Linked DNA regions of Solanum lycopersicum. The protein of the gene in region 3 binds, or shares a complex with, the protein of the main gene of each other region. Links are inferred from orthologs where the notes say so. Each region holds a gene or a part of one and is shown on either strand. Other genes may lie near its edges. The genes, in order: MED18, mediator of RNA polymerase II transcription subunit 32, mediator of RNA polymerase II transcription subunit 25, mediator of RNA polymerase II transcription subunit 9, mediator of RNA polymerase II transcription subunit 14, mediator of RNA polymerase II transcription subunit 15a and mediator of RNA polymerase II transcription subunit 30.

What was found.
Region 1: mediator of RNA polymerase II transcription subunit 25 (region 3) and MED18 share a complex: the UniProt entries of both Arabidopsis thaliana proteins name them as parts of the mediator complex. The link is inferred for Solanum lycopersicum from reciprocal best matches to the Arabidopsis thaliana genes PFT1 and AT2G22370.
Region 2: mediator of RNA polymerase II transcription subunit 25 (region 3) and mediator of RNA polymerase II transcription subunit 32 share a complex: the UniProt entries of both Arabidopsis thaliana proteins name them as parts of the mediator complex. The link is inferred for Solanum lycopersicum from reciprocal best matches to the Arabidopsis thaliana genes PFT1 and MED32.
Region 4: mediator of RNA polymerase II transcription subunit 25 (region 3) and mediator of RNA polymerase II transcription subunit 9 share a complex: the UniProt entries of both Arabidopsis thaliana proteins name them as parts of the mediator complex. The link is inferred for Solanum lycopersicum from reciprocal best matches to the Arabidopsis thaliana genes PFT1 and MED9.
Region 5: mediator of RNA polymerase II transcription subunit 25 (region 3) and mediator of RNA polymerase II transcription subunit 14 share a complex: the UniProt entries of both Arabidopsis thaliana proteins name them as parts of the mediator complex. The link is inferred for Solanum lycopersicum from reciprocal best matches to the Arabidopsis thaliana genes PFT1 and SWP.
Region 6: mediator of RNA polymerase II transcription subunit 25 (region 3) and mediator of RNA polymerase II transcription subunit 15a share a complex: the UniProt entries of both Arabidopsis thaliana proteins name them as parts of the mediator complex. The link is inferred for Solanum lycopersicum from reciprocal best matches to the Arabidopsis thaliana genes PFT1 and NRB4.
Region 7: mediator of RNA polymerase II transcription subunit 25 (region 3) and mediator of RNA polymerase II transcription subunit 30 share a complex: the UniProt entries of both Arabidopsis thaliana proteins name them as parts of the mediator complex. The link is inferred for Solanum lycopersicum from reciprocal best matches to the Arabidopsis thaliana genes PFT1 and AT5G63480.

The regions. Positions count from the first base shown.
Region 1 is NC_090805.1:1,888,056-1,892,273, forward strand, and holds the start of MED18 (mediator of RNA polymerase II transcription subunit 18), read right to left. Parts: upstream 2,801-4,218; 5' UTR 2,407-2,800; intron 2,227-2,406; exon of another isoform or gene 2,153-2,226; intron 1,417-2,152; 5' UTR 1,395-1,416; coding exon 1,359-1,394; intron 1,193-1,358; coding exon 1,093-1,192; intron 1-1,092. Other genes in the region: ZNHIT (zinc finger HIT-type containing protein), read left to right, coding at 3,537-3,610. UniProt on the Arabidopsis thaliana protein: Component of the Mediator complex, a coactivator involved in the regulated transcription of nearly all RNA polymerase II-dependent genes.
Region 2 is NC_090807.1:64,223,280-64,226,958, forward strand, and holds mediator of RNA polymerase II transcription subunit 32, read right to left. Parts: upstream 2,445-3,679; 5' UTR 2,299-2,444; intron 2,297-2,298; exon of another isoform or gene 2,168-2,296; intron 1,914-2,167; 5' UTR 1,871-1,913; coding exon 1,430-1,870; intron 884-1,429; exon of another isoform or gene 868-883; 3' UTR 501-867; downstream 1-500. UniProt on the Arabidopsis thaliana protein: Component of the Mediator complex, a coactivator involved in the regulated transcription of nearly all RNA polymerase II-dependent genes.
Region 3 is NC_090811.1:29,971,890-29,975,389, reverse strand, and holds part of mediator of RNA polymerase II transcription subunit 25, read left to right. Parts: intron 1-781; coding exon 782-849; intron 850-928; coding exon 929-1,687; intron 1,688-3,500. UniProt on the Arabidopsis thaliana protein: Component of the Mediator complex, a coactivator involved in the regulated transcription of nearly all RNA polymerase II-dependent genes.
Region 4 is NC_090801.1:55,598,840-55,602,915, forward strand, and holds the start of mediator of RNA polymerase II transcription subunit 9, read left to right. Parts: upstream 1-1,276; 5' UTR 1,277-1,597; intron 1,598-2,692; 5' UTR 2,693-2,733; coding exon 2,734-3,090; intron 3,091-3,197; coding exon 3,198-3,260; intron 3,261-3,342; coding exon 3,343-3,423; intron 3,424-3,807; coding exon 3,808-3,866; intron 3,867-4,006; coding exon 4,007-4,064; 3' UTR 4,065-4,076. UniProt on the Arabidopsis thaliana protein: Component of the Mediator complex, a coactivator involved in the regulated transcription of nearly all RNA polymerase II-dependent genes.
Region 5 is NC_090800.1:84,078,038-84,082,073, reverse strand, and holds the start of mediator of RNA polymerase II transcription subunit 14, read left to right. Parts: upstream 1-1,236; 5' UTR 1,237-1,560; coding exon 1,561-1,770; intron 1,771-3,971; coding exon 3,972-4,036. UniProt on the Arabidopsis thaliana protein: Component of the Mediator complex, a coactivator involved in the regulated transcription of nearly all RNA polymerase II-dependent genes.
Region 6 is NC_090803.1:3,495,266-3,498,765, forward strand, and holds part of mediator of RNA polymerase II transcription subunit 15a, read left to right. Parts: coding exon 1-104; intron 105-577; coding exon 578-1,936; intron 1,937-2,279; coding exon 2,280-2,350; intron 2,351-3,500. UniProt on the Arabidopsis thaliana protein: Component of the Mediator complex, a coactivator involved in the regulated transcription of nearly all RNA polymerase II-dependent genes.
Region 7 is NC_090807.1:2,029,146-2,033,095, reverse strand, and holds the start of mediator of RNA polymerase II transcription subunit 30, read left to right. Parts: upstream 1-1,150; 5' UTR 1,151-1,273; coding exon 1,274-1,672; intron 1,673-3,013; coding exon 3,014-3,112; intron 3,113-3,673; coding exon 3,674-3,772; 3' UTR 3,773-3,808; intron 3,809-3,889; 3' UTR 3,890-3,950. UniProt on the Arabidopsis thaliana protein: Component of the Mediator complex, a coactivator involved in the regulated transcription of nearly all RNA polymerase II-dependent genes.

The DNA.
Region 1 (4,218 bases), on a different chromosome or scaffold from region 3:
GTTTGCTTTTTTTCCTTGTCTAACCAAGAGGAGAAATCAGTCTTCAACATACTTTATGAATTGTGATGATGATATGACAAATGCGTAGACAACCACAAGGGGTCAACATATATTTGTGGGAGCCAAGGTTAATTAATCAACCGTCTTCCATATTTAAGGTATAATAATACCTTGACTATTATAATAAAAAGAAATACACTTAGCCAAGAAGGTTATAGTAGTTAGATGTAATCGAGATATACACCAGTGATTTGGAAGGTGATTAGCTGAAGGTGCTCTGAATTTAAGGTTTTCTATTTCCTTAGATATTACTACAAGCGAGAGGAATAATCAATGTTGAGTGTAATAGAGAGAGGCACTTATAACTTAGAGATCAATATTGATTGGTGGACAGTGAACACCATACACTAATCATAAGTGAAGTCTAGATTCAACTCCTTCTGATTAGAACAAAAAAGTCTATATTCAACTCGTTTAATGAACTGATGGATACTCTTTCACCATCATTCATGTCATAGAACTCTTATTTATATTTCATTTTAGTCAAAAACATTCCGCCTGCTTATCTGATTACTCGAATAGTAATTGAGCAACACTAATTAGGATAGCAGAAACTCAATCCTTGTGGGATCAACATCTGCCATACTATCTTTAACAGGAAACAAGCATTGTTTTAATACTCCGACGTTACCCTCATCAACATGTCAAAGAATCACATGTACATCATCGCAGAGAATCACATCTGTATCATCGACAAAACCATGATAGGCAACACTTTGTTGAAAACAAGGCACTCAACAGTCAACAAGTGAATGAGCAAAAACCATGTGGTCTCGACCTATAAATTAGATGTACTGAAAGTGAATCATACTTGAACCTAATTCCATTCAATAATTGACATGCAGCACCACAGTACAACTAGAATAAGATGGACCATAAAAAAATTATCAGCTATGTACAAACTCAAAGGTGAGAAAACCTCCCTACGAATGCATAGATGGTTGTGAGCATTTGCCTCAGCCACATCAGTACATACATGACCATTGGGTTAGTTCCTAGTTCCATAATAGTTCAAAGAGAAAATACACTTACCTAGGTTAGGGACACTTTTAAGGCACAGTTCATGAATCCTTAAGCTTTGTTTATGTACACCACAAAGCCCTTGAAGCAGAATTTCCAGGGCCTCGACATGCTGCAAGTATGATTAGCACTGTCAAGATCTTTTCAATAATCAATTGCCAAAAACTGTTTCAGTAAATGCCGTAGTATACCTTTTACAAGTAGCATACCTTCTAAAAGATTGAATAAGAAAAAAACGAGAAATAGGGGGAGGTTTTATCATTACTCCAGGAACTTACTTGAGTCTCAATAATTCCCTGAACCACACACTCCATTCGCACTTCAATTTATTCAAACCTACATGCAAAGAACTCTTTAGAACATACCTATGAACCAAAAAGATATTAAGTTTAACAGAAGAGTAACAACGAAAAAGCTAACACCTAACCAAAATCATAACAAAGTTGACACTCTTTGTATGAGAAGTGCATTGCTTGAAGATTAATGGATCTTAATATGAATTTAGTTTTGGATTGAGGCTTAAAGTTTTTGCCCGGATTGCCCCTATTTTGGGGTGGTCTTCAATTATTGCCTTTTCCATCCATAATTAGAAATTTAAGCATTTGGTCATTACTTGTCTTTTGGTACACCCAAATTCTCACCAAGATTTTAAGCATGAAACTTCTAATGATCCAATATGCACCAAAAACTGTCAAACTTGCTCCTTTCATTAGGCTATGACCAAACAACCTTAAGTTTTACTAAGTTTCTTCAAAGAAATAGGTAGTAGTGCTGGAATGGTATCAAGTTTTATCAATGAAGTCACTCCACCATGGGTGATTCTTTTCATGTGGAAAATTAGTCACTTGGACACATAGCTTAACTCCTGTTTGGCAAATATTTTCTACATACGTACAACAACATATATACATTCTATCCTCCCCATAGTCCACTTGTGGGATTTCACAAGGTATGTTGTTGTCATTGTTATATGATGGAGCATGTGCTCAGCAAAAACAACGAATGACTACAAAAATGGAGGAAAGAAAGAGAAAATGGAAAAGGAGAAGAATGGGTGAAGAAAAGACAATACCTTGGACTATATGGTATATGTTGCCTTTGGTTTTTTTCGACTATTTTGGCATCAAAATATGATTTTTCTAGTGCCTGTACAATTTGATCTTTGTTTAACATATCTTTATTGTTATACATCTGTTTTTTCAAAGTTTCTACATCAAACTCCAAATTTTATCATCTATACACACTATTGTATGACATATAAAACACAATCATTTAGCATTGTAGAACTAAACATAAAACATCAGAGCAAAAAATTGAAAGAATTACCTTGAACAGTTGAAGCAATCTCACTTTTTCCCCCAATCTGAGCTGCAAAAATTCAATTAAAAAAAATAGTTCGAAAGCTTAAACAGGCAGACCTAAATTAATCACATAACAAAAAATCAACGATAACAACGAGCCAAAGAAAAAAAAATTCTAGCTAGAAATCTAGGTTTCTATATCAAACAAGGTCCAATTGTAACAAAAAATCCAGTTTTCTACATCAAACAAGGTCCAATTGTAACAAAAAAATCTAGGTTTCTACATCAAACAAGGTCCAATTAATCACATAACAAAAAATCAACAGTAAAAACGAGCCAAAGAGAGATTTTTTCTAGCAAGAAAAATATGTTTCTACGATCAATTGTAAAATTAAGGTTTAGTAATGCAAGCTATGGCTGAGAGAAACCAAAACAATTAGCAGTAACAGAGATAATATGGTGATTTAGTGCTCAATGAAGTGGTCGAAAATATCAAAAAAGTCGAAACTCAAGACATAGGGTTGGAATAATACCTATTGCGAAAAGTGACAAGTATCTCGTAGAATCAATTGAAAATATTAGCGGATTCTTTTCATACGAGTGGATAAATGTCTGTTACGAAAATTTGATTAGTATCTTATATAATTAATTAAAAAATATTAATGGATTCTTTCTATAGGAATGGATAAAATAATTTGATACCTTATACGAAAAATTGATTATTACGAAATTCTTTGATAAAATGATTTTGATACCTTTTACGAAAATTGATAACACGAAATTCTTTCTATATGAATGGATAAAATAATTTGATACTTTTTACGAAAATTAATTATTGCAAAATTCTTTCTATATAAATGAATAAAATGATTTGATTCCTTTTACGAAAAATGATTATTATAGAAAGTGACGAGTATCTCGTAGAATTATTAGAGAAAAGTGGTACTTAGCAGAAGAGAAAATGGTTTGAAAATTTTGGACCCGAATTCGAGTTTAGGCCCATAATTAATTAAGCGACTCAAAGTATAATTTGATAAAATTGTAAGAACCCGATTGAATCTAAACTCAAAATTCAGGGACCAATATTGCAATTTTACATTCCACCTCTTCCAGAAAAAACCCTAAAACCTCGATAACGAAGAAGAAGAAGAAATAATGGGATCGAAAAAATGTCAAGTATGTGATGAAGCACAGTCGAGATACAAGTGTCCCAATTGCTTCATCCCCTTGTAATTATATTTCCATCTTTTTTCATTCTTTGAAATTTATTTGAATTTTAATTCTGGGTTTTGAGTTTGTTTTTAGTTTAAACTGAAGGGGAATGGATATAGATTATTCATACAAAATTCAGAGTAAAAATTTTTATATGTAGAAAAACATCATAATTGTAGCAAATAGAGATATGAATTTGTTGATAAGAAACTTAGGTTTCGTTTGGTAACTAGTTAGAATTATGCAGTTATTTTTTATGTCCGGCATAAAATAATATATAAATTTCTTCGTAGCTTATATATGTATTAGTCATGTAGCTTTCTAAATTGCGGACTTTTATACATTGAAATCATTGCAAAGAACCTTAGGTGTCGTTTGGGAGCCGGTTAGAATTATGCAACTGTCAGTTATCTATCTTATGTCAGGCATAGAATAAATACACAAATTTTTCTCATAACTTATATTTGTATTAGTTATATGCGGATTTCTAAAGTGCATATTTTTATACATAAATTTGTCGCAAAGAACCTTAGGTGTGTTAGGTAGCTGGTTAGAATTATTAGCTGTTTGTTATCTATCTTATGCCTGGCATAAAATAATGCATAAATTTCTCATAACTAAGGTG
Region 2 (3,679 bases), on a different chromosome or scaffold from region 3:
CAAAAGATGCTCTTAAGCATTGTATGTTGCCTCAAAACCCATTTCTTCTTGGGTCTGCATAAAATTAATGAAAAGAGCGTTGTTTTTTCTGATATATATAGCTTTATAGAGTAGCCTCTGCTTGTCATCCCTTCAGACGATTCTCAATAACCATCAGAACTTTTACATCATAGATCTCTCATTTACTAGTATTAGTTTGCGTTATTGGACAAAGACGTTTCCAAGTGCAGTGACAAGTGAGAACTTCTGTTTTCAAAGTTATTATACAGTACAACTAAATATTAGACTGAGATAAGGTTAAATGGAGCGACATGGATACTGAGCATTTGTGTAGCAATCAAGATGTAGTTGTAAGCTAAAGCGTATTTACTAATACTGCTACACTCAAAGCGTCATAATACTCTGTTGCAACAATTCCAGAGGTCTCCAAAGCCTACTGAATGAGTTCATCAGGGTTAACACAATTAACTAAAAAGCCACTTTACAAGATTGGAGATATATTTCCTAACAAAAATCGATTATAAACATAAATACTCGAGAATATAAGGTACACATAGCAGACACAAACATACAGCCTGTTTGTATATGTTGGTATGCTTAAGATCTAAATAAAGCTAACAGTGCAGTAGCTCATACTGCGATAAAAGTAAATCTCTGTGCCTAGAAAACACAAATGTAAATTTGCCAGATCTTCTCATAAGATGGCGAGGGAGGGAGGCGGTAAAGGTGGTTTACAAATATCATTCCAAAGTATTTCTTCTACATCGTTACAACATGACTTCATACATCAAACATCAACTTTAGCGGCTTACTAAGGCACATAAGATCTTCTGTTTCTCTCTGCTGATCACCAGACTCTGTAGTTACCTGAAAACAGTCACAACTAATAGTTCTTTGTTTTACAGCGATGAAAACAGAATAAAACGAAACCAATTTTTTTTTTCTAGTTTCCATTTGTCTGTCAGAAGTGTTGGGTCAAACTCAGCTTAATAAGTAAGGATAGTACATAATTGATCATAAAAAAAGAAGTTGGGTCAAACTTAGCTTAATAAGTAAGGATAGTATTCTTCATAAATAAAGTAAGGATAGTACATATAACATAATTGCTGCAGAAACTAGTGGTTACTCACAGTTATTCGTTCTGATGGAAGAGAACATATGATGCCACTAAAAAGCAGTTTTGTTAGCTTCTACTACTTTTCTATCAACCTGGAAATTTATACAAGACCAGCGGTTTTGTAATAGCAGCTCTTATATATGAATCAGTTTCAGTTCCAAGGGAATGTTCACTTATTTGCTTCATCATCAAGTCTAGGATACAAAGCCTATCACTAATAGTTCATTAAATAATACAAATTTGTTTCCAGATTATTTAACATAGTCAACGGAAACGACAAGGACAGGAAGTATCAGCGAGATTTCAGTATACCTATTGAGCTGCATCTTCAGAAAATCTGGCATCAAATGGAGCAGAAGGATTGGGATGTACTGCTGAAGCACTATTCGCTCCAGAACCATGTTGCAGTTCTATCACTAGCCATCTTACAGCTTTACTCATCTGCTCCAACCTAACAGCACTAATGGGTTGAAGGCCACTTGCAGCTGGTTGCCCAGGCTTCCCTGAAACAGTGCCTGTAGCCTCATCCACAAGACACTCGGAGCCAATTCTTTGCTTAACCGATTCCACAAACTCCTCCGCCTGATCACACGCAACCCTGAACAACTCCCACTTTTGCTTAAAGTTTTCTAATGCAGCATCAGTTGCTGCTGTTTTCTGACCATTAGAACTCTCCTTTGATTCAAGTACAACAGCTGATGCTGCAACAAAGTCTTGATATGCACTGCTCAGTGCATCTACGAGATTATCCATCACAACCCCTCGAAGCCCTAATTGATCACTAACCTCCGTAAATCTATAAAGGAGAGAATAAATTAGCAAGAACATCATTAAAAATTTAATCTTTGTATCAAGACCATCATTAAAAATTGAATCTTTATAGCAACAACATCATTAAAATTGAATCTTTAGCAAGACCATCACTAAAAATTGAATCTTTGTAGTAATTTCATCATTAAAAATTGAATCTTTGTACAACAATTAAAGAGCTATTATGCTATCAAATTCTGCATACAAAAACAAACCCAAGAAACAATTTTCTATGATTACCCAAAACACTCAAAAGCAAGAAATCAACTGAAACAAAATTGATGCAATACACAAATTTCTTGAAAATACTCAAATAAATTTAAGCAAATGAAAAGAAGAAAAACCACAAAGACTAGGGTTTTTCTACTTACTTGACTGAAGGAAGAAAATGGCTTCCACAATCTTCTCCTCTGTCTTTTTTTGGTTTTTTTCTCTTCTCCCCTCACTCTGTTTCGAAATAATTACATATTCCTCCCCAATAGTTTTCATTTGTAACACAAAGCTTCCCTTTAGTTTCAAAATTAATATTTTAGAGTGTAAGATTTTTAAAATATATTTGAATAAAATCATAATTGAGTAATAATTGTTTGAGTTTCTAATAATTATTTATATATATACGAGTGCTATTTTATTGGACTAAAGGAGTAGTATTATTTATGTATCTTAATTTTTATTTTATTTGTATTTTCATCATTAGTATTATATATTAAGTGTTCTATGTACATTAAAATGAGACATATATTTTTTTTCATTTGTTAGTGTTATATATTATTGATGAGTAATTATATTATATGTGATGAATAAAATTAATTTTACATTAATGTTTAAATTAAATATTTTGTTTAATTGCTCAAACTTGTCAAATTCATCGGTGACCTCCTAAACTTGCTATCGATTTTCACTTAGAACACCTAAATTAGGCGATGTTCATTTTAGACACCTCGTGTAGGGTTCTGTTGTGTCATTTTGGCACTTTTTGCTGACATGTCAAAGTGAGTGTGATACACTTAACAATAGCGCGTGAAAGACTTAATTTAGCCATTTTTAATTTTATTTTATCTTCTTCTTCTCCAAGCCACCACCCCCTTTTTTTTCGAATTTAAATTCCTTCAATGGAGGTCAAATTTTTTATTCAAATTCGTTGTTAAGTCATTTTCTTCTTCATCATTGTATTACTTATCTAAGTCTATCTTCACCTCACTCTATTTTTTGCCGGAAAAATGGATACCAACACCCATATTTCATGTTTATTCTCTCCCTCCTTTCTTTTTTTAAAGAAAAACAATACTAAAAAGAAGAATAAATATGAAAAATAGTAAAAGAAAATAATATTTTTTTGTAAAGCACAAAAGAGATTTGAGTGTAATGAAATAAGAAATTTTCGTAGAATAATATTTTAAATTTTTTTACTAAATAGATTTTATAATTATTTTTAACTGAAAATAATACATGTAATTATTTAATTGATTGTTTGCCACGTCATCAACGAGTGTATTACACATTTACACTCTCCTTTAGTTTTTTATTTATTGTCAGAAAAGTATCAAAATGACACAGTTGAACCTTACATGGGGTGTTTAAAATGAACATCGCCTGATTGAGGTATCTAAGTGAAAATTGGTGCCAAGTTTAGGGGCCATCGATGGATTTGACCTAACATTTTTCATACGCATACAATATCACATAAGACCAACTTTTATTTCACATTTATTATTAGAAAAATTACTGAAATATACTTTTTATATTCTTCTT
Region 3 (3,500 bases):
GCACAGTAAATTTTTCACGCTAATACCAAAGAACATGGGGAAAAACTTGTGTGACTTTAGTTTCTCACACTTCTATTCCTTTATCAACAGACTTTACAATGAGGATATTTGTACTTGTCCAGTGTGGAACACTTAACAATACTGTGAAAGTATACCTAAACACTAACAAAGTCCAAATGTGCAATAAAGGAAAACTAAGAATAATAGCCCCCTCTTTATTTTGAAGTCGGCAGGGTCAAGCTGTTCAATAGACAAAACATTTAACCCATAGAAAAATAAGTAAAACCAATATTTGAACTTTATTCATCCTGATATATGTTGGGGAATGATTTCATTCCACTGTGCAATTCGTTCTGTGTAATCTTTTTCATGTGTAATTTGTTTCAGTTTTTGGAGTTCAAGCACGATCAGTTGGATAGACAACTAATTGCTGAACTGTTCAACTCTTAATTCAGCTGTAGTGTCTACTGTCTATTGCTAAAAATTTCAATTTATCCCTCCCCTAGTCTTCCCTAATTTGGTTGAGGTGAATGTGGCCACATGGTGATGATACTTTTGGCATCTTTTACATGTATACATCTTTTTATCTTATCTGAGGATTAATTATGTTACATAATGTTGAGAACTCTCTAAAATTACAGTTTTAGTTGATAAAAAAGTTACTGGATAAATGTTTATAAGTGTATTACTGTAGTCTAATATATAGTATGCTGGGATATATAAATTACTCTGCAATTGTACTGTTGGAGGGATACTAATTCTCTTTTTATTTACCTCTCAGCAAATGTATCTGTTATCAGTCGACCACCAATTTCCGCTGGAAATATTCCTCCGGCAACTGTAAAAATTGTAAGATTCAACAACTTGTACACCTGCTCGCTACACAGATATTTCATAGATGCTATGATATTATAATATTTGTTTTCAGGAGCCCAACACTGTGACCCCCATGACTGGACCTGGATTTTCACATATTCCGTCTGTTCGTCCTGCTCTTCAACCGGTTCCAAGTTTGCAAGCTTCTTCTCCTCTTTCTGTTTCTCAGGAGATGGTATCACATACTGAGAATGTTCAGGAGATGAAACCCATAGTCAGTGGTATGACTCAGTCCTTACGTCCGGTTGCTGCTGCAGCAGCAAATGTCAAAATCTTGAACGGTGTTGCTCAGGCACACCAAGTTCTAGGCGGGGGGACTTCTATAGGACTGCAATCTATGGGTGGCACCCCTATGCTTTCAAGTATGATATCTAGTGGAATGGCATCTTCCGTCCCTGCTTCTCAAGCTGTATTATCATCTGGGCAATCAGGTGTGACAACAATGACTGGGGCTGTTCCACTAGCAGGAAGTGCACAGAATACACAAAACTCAGCTCCTTCTTCATTCACTTCAACTGCTCCCAGTATGTCTGGTCAAACGGTTCCTGCAATGAGCCAAGGTAATATACCAGGCACACAAATGATGCCAAGTGGGACAGGGATGAACCAGAATATGCTGACTGGGCTGGGTGCAACTGGTTTGCCTTCCGGAACTGGCACAATGATGCCTACTCCAGGGATGTCTCAACAAGGACAACCAGGCATGCAACCAGTTGGTGTGAACAGCACATCAGCGAACATGCCTCTATCTCAACAGCAAACATCTGGTGCATTGCCATCAGCTCAATCAAAATATGTCAAAGTTTGGGAGGTAAGACCGATTAATCAGTAGAAAGGCTGAAACTGGACTGCGGACTTTGTTCCTAATTTCCTATAGAAACTAACTCATGCCTTTAAATTTTCATCGCCCGAACAACAGATAAAATATGAATTTTACATATATGTTCTTTTAGAATGTCACAGGTTATATTTTCTTGATGTTCTCTGCTGGAACTTCTTATTTTGCTTTAAATCAATCAGTCTGTAATTCTGAAATGATTTGGCCATACAATATCTGTTGAGATTTCTATATCTGATACTTACGGAAATGGGATTTTTTTTTTTGTTTTTCACCATTAAGAGGCCACTATAACATGTGATTTTCTTGACGAACTTTCTGTATCTCATTTCTGTTATGTGGTGTAACAATGTGGTCATTTCAATATAATAATTATGAGTCACAATGCCAAAAATTATTTTGTAGTAACTGTTAGGTGTTTATTGCATATATATGGTGATTATGATTTAAGGGGGAATTTAAGACGCGCCCGATAGGACCTAGTGGGTTGCCATGACTGCGATATTTGCACCATTTCTCTGGGCACCAGCTATAATGTCTCTCAGTCAGTTTCATCCTTCCATTTTGTGTTGGATTCACAATTGTTATTTTTGGGGTGTTTGAACTTTGATATCCAGTCGCCTATACTATTTGATTATTAAGATGCAGTTATAATTAAGAGGGGTATTTGAGTAATTTCCTGATAATTCTGTAAATTGGCAAAGAAATCTTTGAAGTGGATTTGGAATGAATATATGCTCTACTATAAATGGATTTTCTGGAAAATCAGCTATCTCCAATCTTAGTTGTCTTTTCACACCTAGCGGCTACCTCGTGTTTAGTTGCTGGGTTCCTTCTTTCTGATTCATTTCAGATGTCAGTCTCAGAAAATGAACCTAATGTGCCAGATGTAAATACTACAGAGATAATGAAGGAACAATATTAAGAGGTAAGATGGAGTTTGATTTTGTGGGTGGACTGGTGGGTAAGTATGAGGATGATTTAAATTTGTATATTTTATGCTGGTGCTTCCAAATTACATTTTTTAGGAACTGAAACAACAGTGTTTCCATGCAAATTGTAGTCTGTTAAAACTCTTTTAAAACAGTGTGGCAGTCGAAGTGAAGTCCTATACTGCCATCTTGTGATGCTAAGGGCTAGACCAAAATTGTTAGTTAAAACTAACCATGTGGTTTTGCATATAGCAATTGTTCTACCAGATAAGCAATGTAGTTTTTGCTTTTGTTGAATTCAGTGATATGCATATAGTTGAGAGGGGTAATAATTTTGAATTCAGCTGGCTCTTTCGCTTTTTTTTTTCCTCTAATGCTTTGTTAACTCTGGTATAGTTATCTTGGTGAGGTAAAAGATAGCTCAGGCCTTTAATGCTTCGAAGTCTTTTTCTGTGAGAACTATTTTGAGTGCACTGTTTTGAGTTTTCCTAAGGCACCTTACAGTTTGATTTGCTTGAACCATAACATAATATTAGTGAATTGCTAATGGTTGCTCTGATGTTTGGGGCTGAGGATAGAACTTATTCTGATGCATAACCAATTACTTTAACTTTTGAAAGAAACAATTGTTTTAGACTTTGCGCAGAACCAGCAAAATCATATTTGAGGTTGTAAGACCACAATTTTGAACTTATAGTTTATACTGAGGATATGTCTATACCCTTGAATAGTGTGATAATATGCAAGTTATATACTACAATGAGAAACTGGGTTGGTATTTATTCAATTTTTTGAACTGCTGTTCTTTTCAAGAACTCTGATTATTTTGCTATAATTTTTCGTCATCCCGATCG
Region 4 (4,076 bases), on a different chromosome or scaffold from region 3:
CAAGAGGTCCTCAGTTGCAACATGTTTTTTAAAACATAAAACACACTCTCTTTTCAATTATGTGTAAGAGATCTGTATTAAGTGACTTATTAGGTATACACATTCTCAAGATTTTATTTTAAAGAAAAAATTAAAGATTATTATTTATTATTATACTTTTGAGTATTTCTAAAGTATCTTTCTATTTAGAAAAAGTAAAATAGTTAAGAATTTGAAAATAGGAGAAAAAAACTCATCATAATCGTGAAAGTCACTCTCAAAAGGCTCATCATAGCCCTTTTTGTGACTCGACTCAAGCTCATCATACATTATTCGATATTTGAACTATTCAGTTATTTAAATTACAAAAAACACTCGACAATTTATTTCATATGAACTAGAGGGAGTATATTTCAAGCAAAAATTATTTTGTGACTTTTGTCCATTAGTTTTGATTTATTCCATCGATAGTTTTATCATTTTAAATTTCCGCAAGATTTAGTTACTAAGTGATGTGTAATTTAATTTCTCACACATTTGCAAAAATAAATTTTGTGTACCCACTTCGCTAAAAAAATTATCGACTCTTTTAAAGTTTGAACAACCTCGGCGAAATTTCTGGCTCCGCCACTATTTGGCGAGTAACATACTCATCATACACTTTCTTGGATATATCGCGTTAATTCATTCATCATCAAGATAAATGATTTTGATCTAAAAGTTGATGTCTGGTGCAACCTCTTCATAGTGGAAAAGTGCTTTTTTTTCTTCTAGGTCTTGACTCCTTCATACATGTCCTTGATCTTCTAAATATACGTCATAGAGTCTGGCATTAATACATACATTTTATGAACCCTAAACACCCAAAGGGACCTCCAAAAAAATTTGGTGTGTGTTTTATAGAGGGTCCCTTTTAGTGTTTAGGGTTTAAAAAGTGTCCGTTTTGATATCAGACTTCTACATACCTCCAATTTCCAAACATCTCCAAAAAACCTCCTTCAAGACTCTGTCTAAAAAACTTTCCAATCAATGAACATCATATGCAAGTTTTTCTATTTGACTGTACTTATTTATCAATCTCTTTATAATGACTTTTGAATACATGTGAAACATGCTTAGATATCAAGTGTATAGAATAAATTATATCTAATTTTGACTCATATGTATCTATTTTGTAAAGTTCTAAGAGAAAATATAATTAGAAAGTATAGTTTCAACCGATAAATAACACAAATGTAAATGTGTGTTTTGTGTTGTTTCCTCTTAATTTAAATACAATTCATTCAAATTTGAATGCACTAGTGATCTACTTTTTTATTAGTTCAATCTATTTCAGTTTGTTAAAATATTAGTTCATATATAAATCAAATCGGTTAATGAAAAGTGAGTTTTATGTATTTTGAATTAGTATTTTAATTATTAAAAATTATCTATTTTTTTTTAATACATACTAAATTTTATACTATAGAAAATGTTAAAATTTCTAAATTAGCTTGTTTGCTCTTGAAATCGAAACCTCCCCACAAATTGGGACAGCGGGAGTAATTTCAATTTTGCTATTTGAAAAAACAGAGGATTTTCCGTTGGGGTTTAACCGGATCGGGCCTTTTCATCTCCGGTAATCTTTCTCGTTTTGTAATTCTCATCGTACTTCTGCTTTGTTATTAACTGTACTAGTTGTGGTTTCAGTAAAGTTTAGCTTCGTATAGTTGTGAATTCATTCTCTTGTGGCGGCTTAAATCAAGGGTTTGGTTGTCAGTGTTATAGCAAACGAAGATTCTGTTCAGAAGATTTAGAGTTCTTTTTTGTTGGAAATTTTGAGGTTGTGATTTTGACCTAAAACTGTTAATTTCATAGATAGAGAGATATTTGTATGTTAGTAATAGGGAACCTCTAGGGTTATGAAAACCTAAATTATTGAATATTGGAATAGATGGGGTTCTAATGGAGAGAATTCATATAGTAAACCCAAACTAATTCGGGATTGAGGCATACTTCTTGATTACTGAGCTAAATTAGAGATAAAGAGTAAGAGGTGCAGTTGGGATTGATTCATTTCTCACTTTAATAACTATCTAATTTTACAGTTTTAGGTTTTGTAAACTTTTTTAGTGCATACTAATAACTATCTACCCTTTTGGTTTGCTTGGGATTGCTAGCTCCTTAGCTTTAGTTTAGGATACTTGTATGAGTGCTGAGATTTTTTTTATGCCCTTCCGAATTAGAGCTAAGCGGTCGCATATTTTGTAATCTGGCATCTACCCGATGCCCATTCAAGGATAATTTTTAACCTTATCAAAAAGACATAGTTGCAGCAGTAATTTTTTCCGATGTACCTATTGATTTAACAATGTGAACACCAAATTTATACAGATGTCATGGTAGTTTTTACTTGGAGATAAGAGTTTACTGTTTGTTAAATTTCAAAGAAGAGTTTACTGTTTGTTACGAGGGATGGGCTTCAGTTTTAGAGGGTCTCACTTGATGGCTTTGTTCTCTTTGGTACAAAAGAACTATTCTTGTAATAAGATGTGGATGAAATGTCATTTAGGAATGATGGGAAATATATTTTTGAAGTGGTTTGTACATTTCAGAATCTTAGGAATTATTTCTCTTTGCTACTCAGTCCATTAGGCCAGTTCATGCTTTGATAGTTTTGGCTATTTGTGTAGTACTTGATTACATCTGATGACATTAATTTTATCCATTTTAGAACCAAAGTACCAACAGATTTCAGCTCAACAGCCATTAGTTATGGACCACTTTGGAGGAGGAAGTTGGACAATGATCCCCAACATCCAAACTCACAGTAATCCTTCGACACCCTCCAATCAAGACAATTTATTTCTTCAGCAACAGCAATTTCAACAACAACAGTTCATTCAACCGCAGCTCTATCAGCAACAACAGCAGCAGCAGCAGCAACAACAACAACGGTATCAACAACAGATGCAACAGCAACAAATGCAGCAGCAGCAACAGATGCAGCAGCAGCAAATGCAGCAACAACAACAACAGCAGCAGCAAATGCAGCAACAACAACAACAGCAGCAGCAGCAACAACAACAACAGCACCACCAATCACTTGCCTCTCACTTCCATCTTTTACAAGTATTGGGCAAAAACCATGATCTGTAGCTTGCTATTTTAATAGAGTAACGAGACATTTCTCTTTCCTAGTGAGACCTTTTGTTCTAACTTTTATTGTCATCTTACAGCTGGTGGAGAATTTAGCTGATACAATTGAAAATGGAAATCGAGATCAGCACTCAGATGCATTGGTTTGTTCATTTCTTGATTGATGCATTATATGTTAGTTTTCCATTTCTTCTACATTAAACCGGGTGTATTTTTCCTCACCAGGTAACTGAATTGAAAAATCAGTTTGAGAAGTGCCAGCAGCTGTTGACATCAATATCAGGGTCTATTAGCTCAAGATCTATGGTATTTCATTTTCACACATATCCTTTGATTTCTGTTGTAACTTGTTCTGAACACACCCCCAACTCAAAAAATAAAAAGAAAAAAGAGAGAGACTCCAACAAAGAGTTAAGCGCAATAATATGAAAACAGAACTTCAAAATTATTCTTTTCTGGAAGAGTTGGATTGTTTTTCTTTTGGCAGTGTTATTGCTTTTAATTGTGCTTTTCCATTTGGGCCTGTTTGTTCAACTTATAGTTGTGAAGAATTTTACTGAAAAGTGGGGTTCAATATGTTTGAAACGATGTTGACTTGAACAAAGTTGCTCCACAAATTCTTATTTGGTTGCATGTTTTGATGCTTAAATATGGGTAAGATAATTGACCAGTCCTGTGTTCTTTGGACAGACAGTTGAGGGACAAAAGCGCAAAAAGGCAGAGTGCGAACAAATGCTAAATCAGCGAAGGTTTGTATTATATATATATAAAACACACACACACACACATATATATATGTGTGTGTGTGTGTGTTTCTAATATTGTCTACTGAAATTTGTATAATTATTATTTGCTTCATCTGATGGTCATGTTTCATGCTTAATTACAGGGATCTTATTTCGAGGTACAAAGGCTCAGTTGAGGAGATTATTAACTCTGAACTATAGCTCATACTCGCA
Region 5 (4,036 bases), on a different chromosome or scaffold from region 3:
ATTATCATTTATCTGCTTAAGTAGAGCTAAAAAATATTTTGTTTGATCGAAGATTGATATATTAGTGGGTGAAAGTGAAAAAGAAAGCATGAAACAATTGAGCCAATGCACCATTCCTTAATTACCAATCCGACATTAAATGAACCATTACCTTATTAGTTGGCTAGTGGATCAGTCTATTTAAAAATCAATATCCGACAAGCCAAATAATTAAGCATAACTATCCATCTGATCCGTCCAATACACAAACCTAAATTTTAGGTTATTGAAAATGTCCAAATAATATATATGGACTATGATGATCTAGTTGTATAAAATAAATGTGATATTTAAGATACAGACATCAAGCTATTAAAACACACTATAAAAAATGAGAGAATGAAAAGAGTGATCCTATAAACGAAACTAATTTGAATTTATGCTAAAGCGTTTGATTGCATAAGTGTCATATATCTCATAATGAAATTGACGGAATCTCCCTTCATCATTATACCTCAATGCATTATTTAATTTTAATTACGTGATAGTTTTTGAGGTTAAGGTATGCCTCCAAACATGAGAATGAAACTCCATATATTCAGAGATGTTGATCTTCTTCATTAATGTGAAAATAACCAGTTTAAAGCTTGAAAATTTGTAGTGAAACAATATTTGAAAATAATAGTTAAAACTTTTTGACGAATAAATAATGTAACGGTGCATATAATTATCAAATAGACGAAGCCATCATCACTTTAAGAAAATCAAGAAATGTGTAATTTCTTGAAAGAGAATTCTGAAACTGGGGCGGAGTAATAAGGGACTACGAGGACATGTTCATCTCTGGACCTGGACAAACAAGTGGGCGAATACTATGACTATAATAATTAGATTTCACTATTACGTGATAATTTTTTAAACAAGTATACCAGAAGTAAATTCGCAATGATTTATTAGACGCGTAAATCAAGAAATTTAAGTTTCATGAAGAATAATTCAGGTCACAGATGAATAATAAATGAATGATTGTTAAACACCGTTTTAAAGAAAAAATAAAATAATAGATAAGTTCTTACCGCTCAACAGATAAGCTCAAACAATATTTAGGCTTCACATACTTTGAAAGGTATATCAAAAAACGCAATAAAAATATTTTTTCGCACACTTAATAAATATTTTTATATGGAAACTTTCTAAATATTATATTTTTTTCTAAATCAACATGATTTAAGGAGATGAATTTTTATAAACTTGGTCAAATAGAACTTTAGAGGTTTTATATTAGTTTTGACTTCTCTCCGACTAGTAGTACCATATTCCAATTTTGCACACCCTCTCCCTTCCGCCGTTACGCGTTACCTTCAGACATCCGATCTATCAAAAAGGGAAAAAAAAAATAGAACAACACTCGCTTCATTCACTCTCTCTACAGGTCGGAGATTCATATTTTGTTTCAAATTCCACAATTTTTACAAACCCTAATAGTAATTGATTGTTTGGGCGGTCAATTTTCATTAAATGGCATTGTATTAGTAGGAATTCGGGATCGTCGGAGTAATTTAATCGGAGGGTTTTGCGGAGATGGCGGAATTAGGGCAGCAGACGGTGGATTTCTCGGCACTGGTAAGCAGAGCAGCTGAGGAGTCGTATGTTACGTTGAAGGAATTGGTGGAGAAGTGCAAGTCGTCTAACTTATCTGATTCTGAGAAGAAAATTGGGATTCTTAAATATGTAGTTAAGACTCAGCAGCGTATGCTTCGTCTCAATGTCCTATCCAAATGGTGCCAGCAGGTTGTTTTCTTTTTTTTTTAATCTATTCACTCCCTCTCTCATTATGTATGTTGATGCATTCAAGATTGAACACTATCTTTTTTTAATTTTTTAGATATAATGATGTGTTTTTCCCAATTTGTGACCCCCTTTATTAATCCAAAGGTACCCGTTACCTCCCACCGGCATAGGTACGGGGAAAATTTTCTTTCCAGGCTTAGGCAGATGGGGATTCTATGTTTGAGTTCTTTAAGGGTTATAAGAAGTGTGCCTTCTTTCTTCTTTGTTGAGGGGTGCGAAGAGTAGTTTTCGACTTCTAGGGTTTCTTTTGTTTCAGGATTTGTGAATTGGAAAGAGGAAAAGGAGAGGATTTTCTCTTTCTTTATTGATGCATTGAGAGAGTAGTGACAGAATGTATATTGGTCATGTATTTGTTTTTGTGAAATTTGTGAGTTGGAATGGAGAAAAATGGATCTTGATTAAGATTAGAAAGGTAGCCGTGAAATGAGTAGGGTGGATGTTGTTTTAGGAATTGGGAAAAGATGGACCACGAGGAGTAATTTAAAACTTAAAATCAGATAGTTAGGGTGGAAGTTCTAGTTATAGTGAATGTCGAGGACAATTGCCAAAAGAAAACAAAAGTTGAGGACAACTTCAAAGGTTTTAAGATTGTACGATGCTCTGTTCAAGTTGTACCAACAGCTTATTTGATGAAAGGCGGAATGATCCAAGAGACCCTTGTATTTGAATCGGATTGTCGATTAGACCCTTCTATTCTCGCCTTTTTTTTTATGACAAGGGAAACCTGGAGCCGCTGCCTTTTGGGTGCACATAGGGTAAAACCCCACTCCTATGCAATAGCTCGCAAACCACATAGGAGAGGTAACCCGCACCAGGCGACTCAGAAGGCAAACCCCCTTGCTTTCACATGCAAGGTGTTTCGAACTTGAGACCTCCAACAAAGCCCTTCTATTCACGACTTTGTCGACTGAACTTTTAGACTCAATGAAACACAATCTTCTAAACCCCTTTGACCCTTCAGATTTTTAATGACATGTCATTTATTTTTAACTTTATTTTGAAGTTTTCAATTTTTTTCCTTATTCACTCCATTTCTCCCTCACCGTCTCTATCCCTTGACCACCTCTTTCCATTTCTTACATCTGATATACCACCATAACTTTCCATCTTTATCGGTAACCACTTCCCAAAAAAATTAAAGACCTCCATTCTCCTCGAAATTTTCATCATTCACAACTTTCGATCACCTTTTTTTTTCAGCAACGCCTCTGTCCACCACTTAAACCACCGTGAAGACTGTCATTTTCTGATGAGATGGTAGAGAAGATGAGCAATCTGGCGATCAGTTCGTTGAAGAAGGGAGAAGATGAAGAGGTTTCCAATATACAAAAAGCTGAACAATTTTGCTCTTTGGGCAATTAACAATTTGGGTTTATTTTATTTTATTTTATTTTATTTTGTTTTGTTCTGGACCAACTTGTTTTGCACTATGTTTTTAATTATAATAAATTGATGACCATTTTTGGTCACGTTTTGACAAAAAAAAACCACCACTGTGAACTCCTCTTCTCCATTGATGCCAATGAACACCACTAAAAGACCTCAATATTTCTGGACATATGCACATAATTTTACACAGCACACACTCCACCTAATTCAAAGAATCACAATCACTCTTCACGCTCTAAAACTACTGGATCTTTGTCACCTAACAATTACGCCAAAAACATGGAAAGGAAGGACAAACCAGGAACAGTAGGACTTATCCCATTTCTAATCTTGGGAGAAAGAGTATGTGTAAAAGAAATAGGGTGGGGTGGGAACAATGGAACTGCTGTCACACCAAAAGAGCTATGAGTTTCCTGTAGATCTTGCTTCAAACAACTTTCTGTAGCATCATTTGAACCTTTAATCTTTGATTTAATAAACTCTTTCGAGGTATATGTTGGTAATGCTATGTACAAGGTTTGTCTTCATGTCTTTCTTCTCCCTTTCATGTCTTCATTTCTTCATCTGTCTTTTTCTGGAAGGAAAGATACACTTGTATTATATTCAGTATCTAGGTGAGTAGAAATATGGTTGTCAAATCTTCCTGGACCCTTAGAATCAACGGTTGGCCCTATATTCTTTATCATTGATCTCGTAGAAACTGCAGTTCAAACTCCGTATTTAAAGTACCAACACAATTATCTGGTTTGCAGGTCCCGTTGATACAATACAGTCAGCAGCTTGCATCCACTTTATCTAGTCATGATACATGTTTCAC
Region 6 (3,500 bases), on a different chromosome or scaffold from region 3:
GATATCTTTAAAGATGCTGACCATGGAGACAAAATCTCAACCTCCTATGACCAATTCTGTTCAGCCAAATCCTGCTAGTAGTGGTCAGAATGCCCTTGGTCCAGGTGAACAATGAAATCTCATGTGCTCTATTTCAAATAGGGAAAACTTGTATGACAGGACGTTTTGTGTAAACCTAATTACTTCGTTCTGCTGTTGAAAAGTTTGTTCTCTGTAGCTAATAAGTGTAAAGGAAATTTTAGATGCTTGAACCATTGTGCTAATCTTTGAGTGATCTATAATTTTGGTGACTAGCCCTAATAAGTATTGTTTGTGCTCTAGGTCAGAGTCCTAGCCCTGCTCTTTCTCTATATCCAGACTATTCTTGTTGTTTATTTGTCTAATAAGTAACTTAGTCAAACTTCTCTTTTGTATTTTCGAATCAGTTTTCACAAAGCTATGACTTCTGTTTCTTGTATCTTAAACTAAAAAATACGTGTTTACTTTTGCTGCTTGTTTGTATTTTATTTTAATGTTATTATGTTTGCTGGTTATTTGATAGCATCTTGACTGGCTTCTTTTTTATTCATTTCTGTAGGATCGCACAGTATGCAATCCCAAGTCAACAGCCAAGCACAGCAACTTCCTGTACCTATGGTGGCCAATCAAACTCAAACACGACAACCACTGTTGCAGCAAAACCTTCAGAACAATATGGCATCGACTGGGCTGCAAAATTCTGCTAGCTTGGCTCCTTCACTTCCTTCTGTGAGTAATTTGACGCAGGGTACCATGCCAAATGTCGTGGGCCAGAATTCAAATTTGCAAACCATGCAAAACATGCCAAATGTTGGTCAAAACTTGGTAGGAAATGCCATTGGGCAAGGCATGCCTCCTAATATGGTTGCTAATTCTCAGAGGCAGATGCAGGGAAGACAACAACAGGTTGTTTCTCAACAGCAACAGCAGCAGTCCCAGACAACACAGCAATATATGTACCAGCAGCAACTGCATCAACATCAAATGATGAAGCAGAAATTTCAGCCGGGAAGCACATCACAGTCCTTGATGCAATCTCACATGCAGCAACAGCAGCAGCCGCAGGAGCAGCAGCAACAACTACCGCAGCAGCAACAAAACCTTCTACAACCTACTCAGACACAACCTTCTCAGCAAGCTATGATGCAACCTTCTTCAATACAATCAACTTCTTTGTCCAACCTTCAGCAGAGTCAACAGTCGACTGTTCAACAGTCAACTCAATCTGTACTTCACCAACGGCAACAATCAGTTATGAGACAGCAGCAGGCTCCCATGCTTCATCAACAGCAATCGTCAATGCTACAGCCACCAATTTTACCAGCTCAACAGCACCAACAACAACAACAACAGCAGCAGCAGCTGATTGCACAACAGACAAATGTTGCAAATCTCCAGCAGAACCAATTGATGAGTCAACAGAATGCAATGCCTGATGTGCAGCAGAGGCTAGTGGGCCAACAGAACAACTATATGCATCAGCAAAACAACTTTCAAAATATGCATCAGCAGCAGTTGGGCTCTCAAAGTAGTATTGCTGGGGTCCAGCAACAACAGCTGTCTGGAAGTCAACAACCTGGTAACTCTGGCTTGACATCTAATCAGCACCCTATTCATTTGATGCAACAACCAAAAGTTCCTGTACAACAACAAATGCTGCAGAGTACTACAACCTTGTTACCAAATCAAGGTCAACAATCGCAGTCGCAGCCAGCACAACAGCAAATGATGTCTCAAAGTCAATCACAACCAGGACAGTTACAGCCACCTTTGGGTTTGCAGCAACAGGCGAATCAATTGCAAAGGGAGATGCAACAGAGGCTTCAACCATCAGCCCCCTTGCTTCAACAGCAAAATGTAATGGAACAGCAGAAGCAGCTATATCAATCACAAAGAGTCGCACCTGAAGCCTCTTCAAGTATGTATTTTTCTTAATCAAAGCTTTCAATTAGGTCTCATAAATCACTCTGTAGCAGTTTGTCATTCTTAGATATTTCCACCTTTCATGCCTTATATGTGTGAAGGTATAGGACTTCTACACTATGTTAACCACTGGTTTACATTTTCTTTATGTAAAAATGACTAGTACTTTCAGGCAAGTTTTGGGATATGAAAGGTGGTGGATATTTTAGATAATATTCATACTTATCTGAAATATCCAACACCTTTCATATCCCAAAATTTGCCTGAAATTTTAATGCTGTAAGGAGTCAAGTCCTTCAATATTTTTGTGCTATCCTTAACTTTTGGTTTATTTGTAGCATCTTTAGATTCTACAGCTCAGACGGGAAATGCAAATGCAGCTGATTGGCAGGAGGAGGTTTACCAAAAGGTATTTTTTTCGATGGTATTTCTATCTGCACGGCATGTTGAGAACTGAGGAAATTACTGGAAATTGTTGTTTTGGAAATTGACAAGTGAACTGTATTTTGATAAATTGACTGGTTGCAACAATATAAGAAGTAGCTGAATGCTGTGAAATATTTTTTGTGATTGATGGATTAATAGAGGAGGTTTATCAAAATAAGTATTCAGCAAATTCATGGTCATATCCATTCCCGCAAAGCACTTTTACGGTGTTCCAATTCGTAGAAGCACTATAGAATTAAGGTTATTGCAGCTTACTTGTAAGAAATTGATTTATTCTCAATTGAGAAGTGAGGTACAACAACTATTACGCCTCAATGTTAATCAAATTAGCGTCTGTTATATGAATTATTGTTGTCTTATGTTGCTTCATTTGAGCCCCTCTCAATCCAAAATTATAGCACTTGAATTTCCTTACACTTTCTACTGGCATAATTGGGAAGTGAAGTAAATAAATTGGTTGGTTACATTTATTTTTTGATGAAGTGATTAGAAATAGTTGAATGTTGTTATGTATTGTCTGAATTCACGAGGTGTGATATGTCCGTAAGTTTGGGTCAGGGTCCTCATAATATGTACCTAATTTGTTTTATTCCATGGAAACTAAAGAATTAATTGCTACATTAAAGGGTAAATCTATTCATGCAGGAAGTATATACTTGAATATATGGCTTAAGAAAATATTGTTCTTTGTGAAAAGGCACATCATCTGTATTAGTTGGTAACGGTTTTTGTTTCTGTTTTTTGGGATATCACGAGAAATTCATTGTTGCCTGTTTTGGAATGTGGATGATAATGGGTCTGTCCCTCTAGCTTTTTGTACTTAAATACCTGACTTGGTTTACTAGCTAGAAGTGTAAGTTGGAATATTTTGTGTTCGCCAAGAATAAAGATATAACATCAACATGCCTTTTTACTTGTGAAGTAAACTACATTGTTGTTATTCATTGTTTACCCTCATTTTGCTTTACTGGTAATAAAGGTGTAAAGTGAAAAAAAATGATGTTTTCACACTAAACAATATTATATCTCCCAGACAATTATAGAAAAGTATATTCTAATTCCTCCTGGTTGGGCTGGTCTATTATCACATCTTGGAACTAGACCCTTGCTGT
Region 7 (3,950 bases), on a different chromosome or scaffold from region 3:
TTTATGAACGACAGAGACATCAATGTCCCAAAATAATGACTGAAGGTATCTGCATATCATTTACGGTAGTTCGAGAATATATTTGTCATTTTTTCCTTTTTATAAAATAAATTTATTTGAATTTTAAAATCTGAAAAGTGTCTTATAAAATGAAATAGAAAGAATATTATATATATATAATATTTTAATTTCTATTATTAAAATGCACAATAAGACTAATTATCGATTCGAATGGTGTTGTCTTTTTTTAATTAGGTATTAATGGCACGTTGAATAAAAAAAAAGGAATCTTTGATTTGTTTCTTTCAAAATCTCAAATGGAAGTTTTTAAACATTTCTTCTTTCGCTTTTTAATTTTAATTGGAATCACACTTTTTTTAGTTTGCATCTATTTGCGATACATAGACTCTCTCTCATTCACTTTACGTCTTTTTCACTCGTCTTTTTTTCTATAAGTTTATATTTTAAAGTGTATATAGTAGTATATTACATGCATCTAGGTCTATATGACTTGACATCTAGTATGAAATTACTAATTAGAAGACGATGCGTAACTTTTCAAAATTATGAAAAAAAAACTACGTAGTAAATATGATAGGAATGTTTATGTAATCTGGTAATTTTTCTGCAACGTTAAACACAGATATTTGTGCACTTCTTTCCCCCATTGAATTTCGGGGAACTTATATACACGTACTATAATTAAAAAAATATTTACCATTTATAGCAATAATAAAAAAAAATTACTTAATCAGTTTTAATTTATTTATAATACAAGTTTTATACATATTATAAATAACAATTTAATATTACATATAATACAAATTTTAACGATGGATAATACGTTTTTCACACATTTTAATACATTTATAATAGAATGTGTCAAATTTAGTAAACAAACTTAATATATTTCAAAAAACAACTTATAATTCACGTACATTGCATACATAATTCACTTTTAATTCATATTGCAGATTTTACATAATATTGCTATAAATGACAATAAATAAAAAGTATCGCTAAAATCAGTAATTATTTATTAAAATGTATTAATTTATATAATTTTTCCTTGAATTTTGACCCAAGTAACTTGATTTTGGGCTTGATCCAGTAATACATAGCTCCTTACCCGGCCCAAAAAGTACACGCCACGCATAAAACGACGTCATTTTATGCTTAAATTAATTCTCCTTACAACTTCTCGCACCGCCGATCGCCACCACTACCGCCGCCGTCGATCTAGGGTTTTGACAAGCCGGTGACATTACCCGGTATGGAGGATAAAGGCACAATTACAAGCCCTAAAACCATACAAGAACTAGCAGTAGAAGGGCAAAAGCATTTAGAAGATACAATAGAAGCAGCACATCAAATTCTCTCCGCCATGAACGATGAACTCTGTAATCCATCACTTTGGTCCACTCTAAATACAGCTGCTGCTTCTTCTGCGGTGGCGGTGGCCGGTGGAGGAGTTGGTGCTAGTGGTGTTTTGAGTAATGGACAGCAGCACCATACAAACGGCGACATTTCGTCTGATACTTCTTCGTCTTCTTCTGCTTCAGCTCAGCATTTGGATATTGGTGGTGGTGCTCTTGATGAATCTCGTCTGCGTTATAAGTCCTCTATTGCTTCCTTGCGTTCTGTTCTTACTGCAATTTCTAATTCCCAAAAGGTAATTTTACGTATAAAAATGCAATTTTTTAAAACATTTTTGTAATTGTGTGATATCTGTAATTTAAGATAGTGATCTCAGGAAAAGTTAGTTTGATGTAATCATGAATCAACAATGGCTTGATCATAAACTAGTTCGGTTCAGCTATATGAATGAATCACTTCTAGTGAAGTCCATTAAACAGAAAATGTGTAAAAGACTGGGGCTTTGTTCAATGCCAAAGGTAGTTCAACGTGACCGCAAAGATTTGGATCCAACGTAGATAACCTCTAGTTTTAGAGGTTCCAAAGGTTAAAACTATTTGATACTGGAGTGAAGTGGTTCCATATGGATATGGAGGATTCGTATACTTCCACCACCAACCAGCTTGTGTTGAGCCATAGGTGGTGTTGGTGTTCTGTTAGATGGTAGTTTTGATTGGGAATGAAACTCAAATAGATATTCTAGAAATGTAGTTCCTTCGGAGTACTGTAGGAGAGAAAAACATTATCCAGTTTGAGCAGAAAAAAAAAGACATTATCTAGCGATAAAGGTAAATTCAGTGTGAAAAGTGTTTGGTGATTGATCTTAATCACAAAACAAGGGGTTAAACAGTTTTGGTGATTGATATGGGAAAGACATCATGTGGTTATATACTAGCACAATTTGCCCTTACCAATATGAGCAACATTTGCACATGGCAATTGTATATTTTGATGTTCTAGACATGGGGATAATATTTCTTCACTATGAATATAATATTCAGTCGTTTGATCATCCCTCGTCATCAGTTGATGAAGCTCAACTGTGCTGCTTACTCTTTTTCTGATTTGTCTTATATTCTTCTGGGTTTGTGGGTGGCTGTTGGGGGCTGGGGATGGGGGAAGATATTTAACTATGTTTTCGAGGTTGTTCTTGTTTCTGCTGTTTAAACGCACATGAGGTATAAGTGTTTATACCAAGATAAACTACTGCGTGTTATCCTTTTCAAGAAAGAATTAGCACTATAATCACATCTCAAGTCCTTGGTGTTGGTGTATGGATTGCCTTAACATTTGTGCATTGGAGAGAATCTGGTTAAGCAGTAAGAATTTTGTTTGTCAGTATGAACAAATAAATCACTGATGTTGAGTGCATTTTTGTTGCTCAACATATGTCCGACTACACATTAAATGAGTTCTTTTAGTAACTTCTTTCTTAAGAGTTGTGCAAGTATTTGCTCCGTTTTAACTGGAAGTTGTCAAACTCTCCTTTCTGTTGTCTCAATTCTCATGATTAACAAGTTATATTTTCTTGTACATTTTGGAAAGTTGTTAACTTATTGTATGATACTTCACACTCATTACTGGCTTTGTTAGCTAGGCAAAAGCATTGGAAGCTGCTTCTGCTAGTGGTTCACTATCTGCAGCAGATCAAGCGGAAATTGAGCAGCTGGAAGACCGGGCCTCTTCATTAAAGAAGGTATTGATAACATATCAAATTTTGACATATTAGAATTTCCTTGGATTTTTGTTGGTTTTTGGGATGCATGATGGGTGGGTTTGGTGAAGCAAATGTGTGTGCCAATATTTGAACCTTGACTGATGTCTTCCTTGATCCATTGAGTAATTTCTTATCCATTAAAACAATATTGAGGTATACTACATGTTACATTTTCATTCCGGACACATGACAAAATGTCTTACTGTACAAACTTTCTCAAGTCTCGATATTTGTCACAACCTCAAATCAGAACAATATGATTTTGTGATAACATATGAAAACTTGGTTTCAACATCCTCTGCTTGTTGTACATACTGTATTATTATTAATTTTATTCCTATTGCGTTAAAATTAGTCAAATCCTGTTTCATTTGCTTTATGTCTCCCCCTAGTGGCAATAAGAAGTCCTCAAGTGAAGGTAGAGTTTTATCGTACTTGAGTGCATGCCTAATAGTTTTCTATTATCTTACGGTAGTGAAAAATCAAGTTGCTATTGTGATCAAGATTTAAAGCATATTCTATTGTTCTTACAAATTGCAGGAGCTTGTAGACAAGAACAAGCATCTCAAACTTCTGATTGACCAGCTTCGAGATCTTCTTGCTGACCTATGTACATGGCAGAGTCCCTGTTCTACATGACTCTGCTGCTATAACTTCAACCATACAATTAAATCGGTGAGGTGTTAGAGATGTCAAAAGAGCAACGTATTCAATCTTAAGAAACTGTTTTATTTTTTTTTCACTTCTTTTGTACAGAAGTTACTGCTAGATTCAAAAAATTGGTCATCGCCGGACACCTGCTATATGCTGCTCGCGG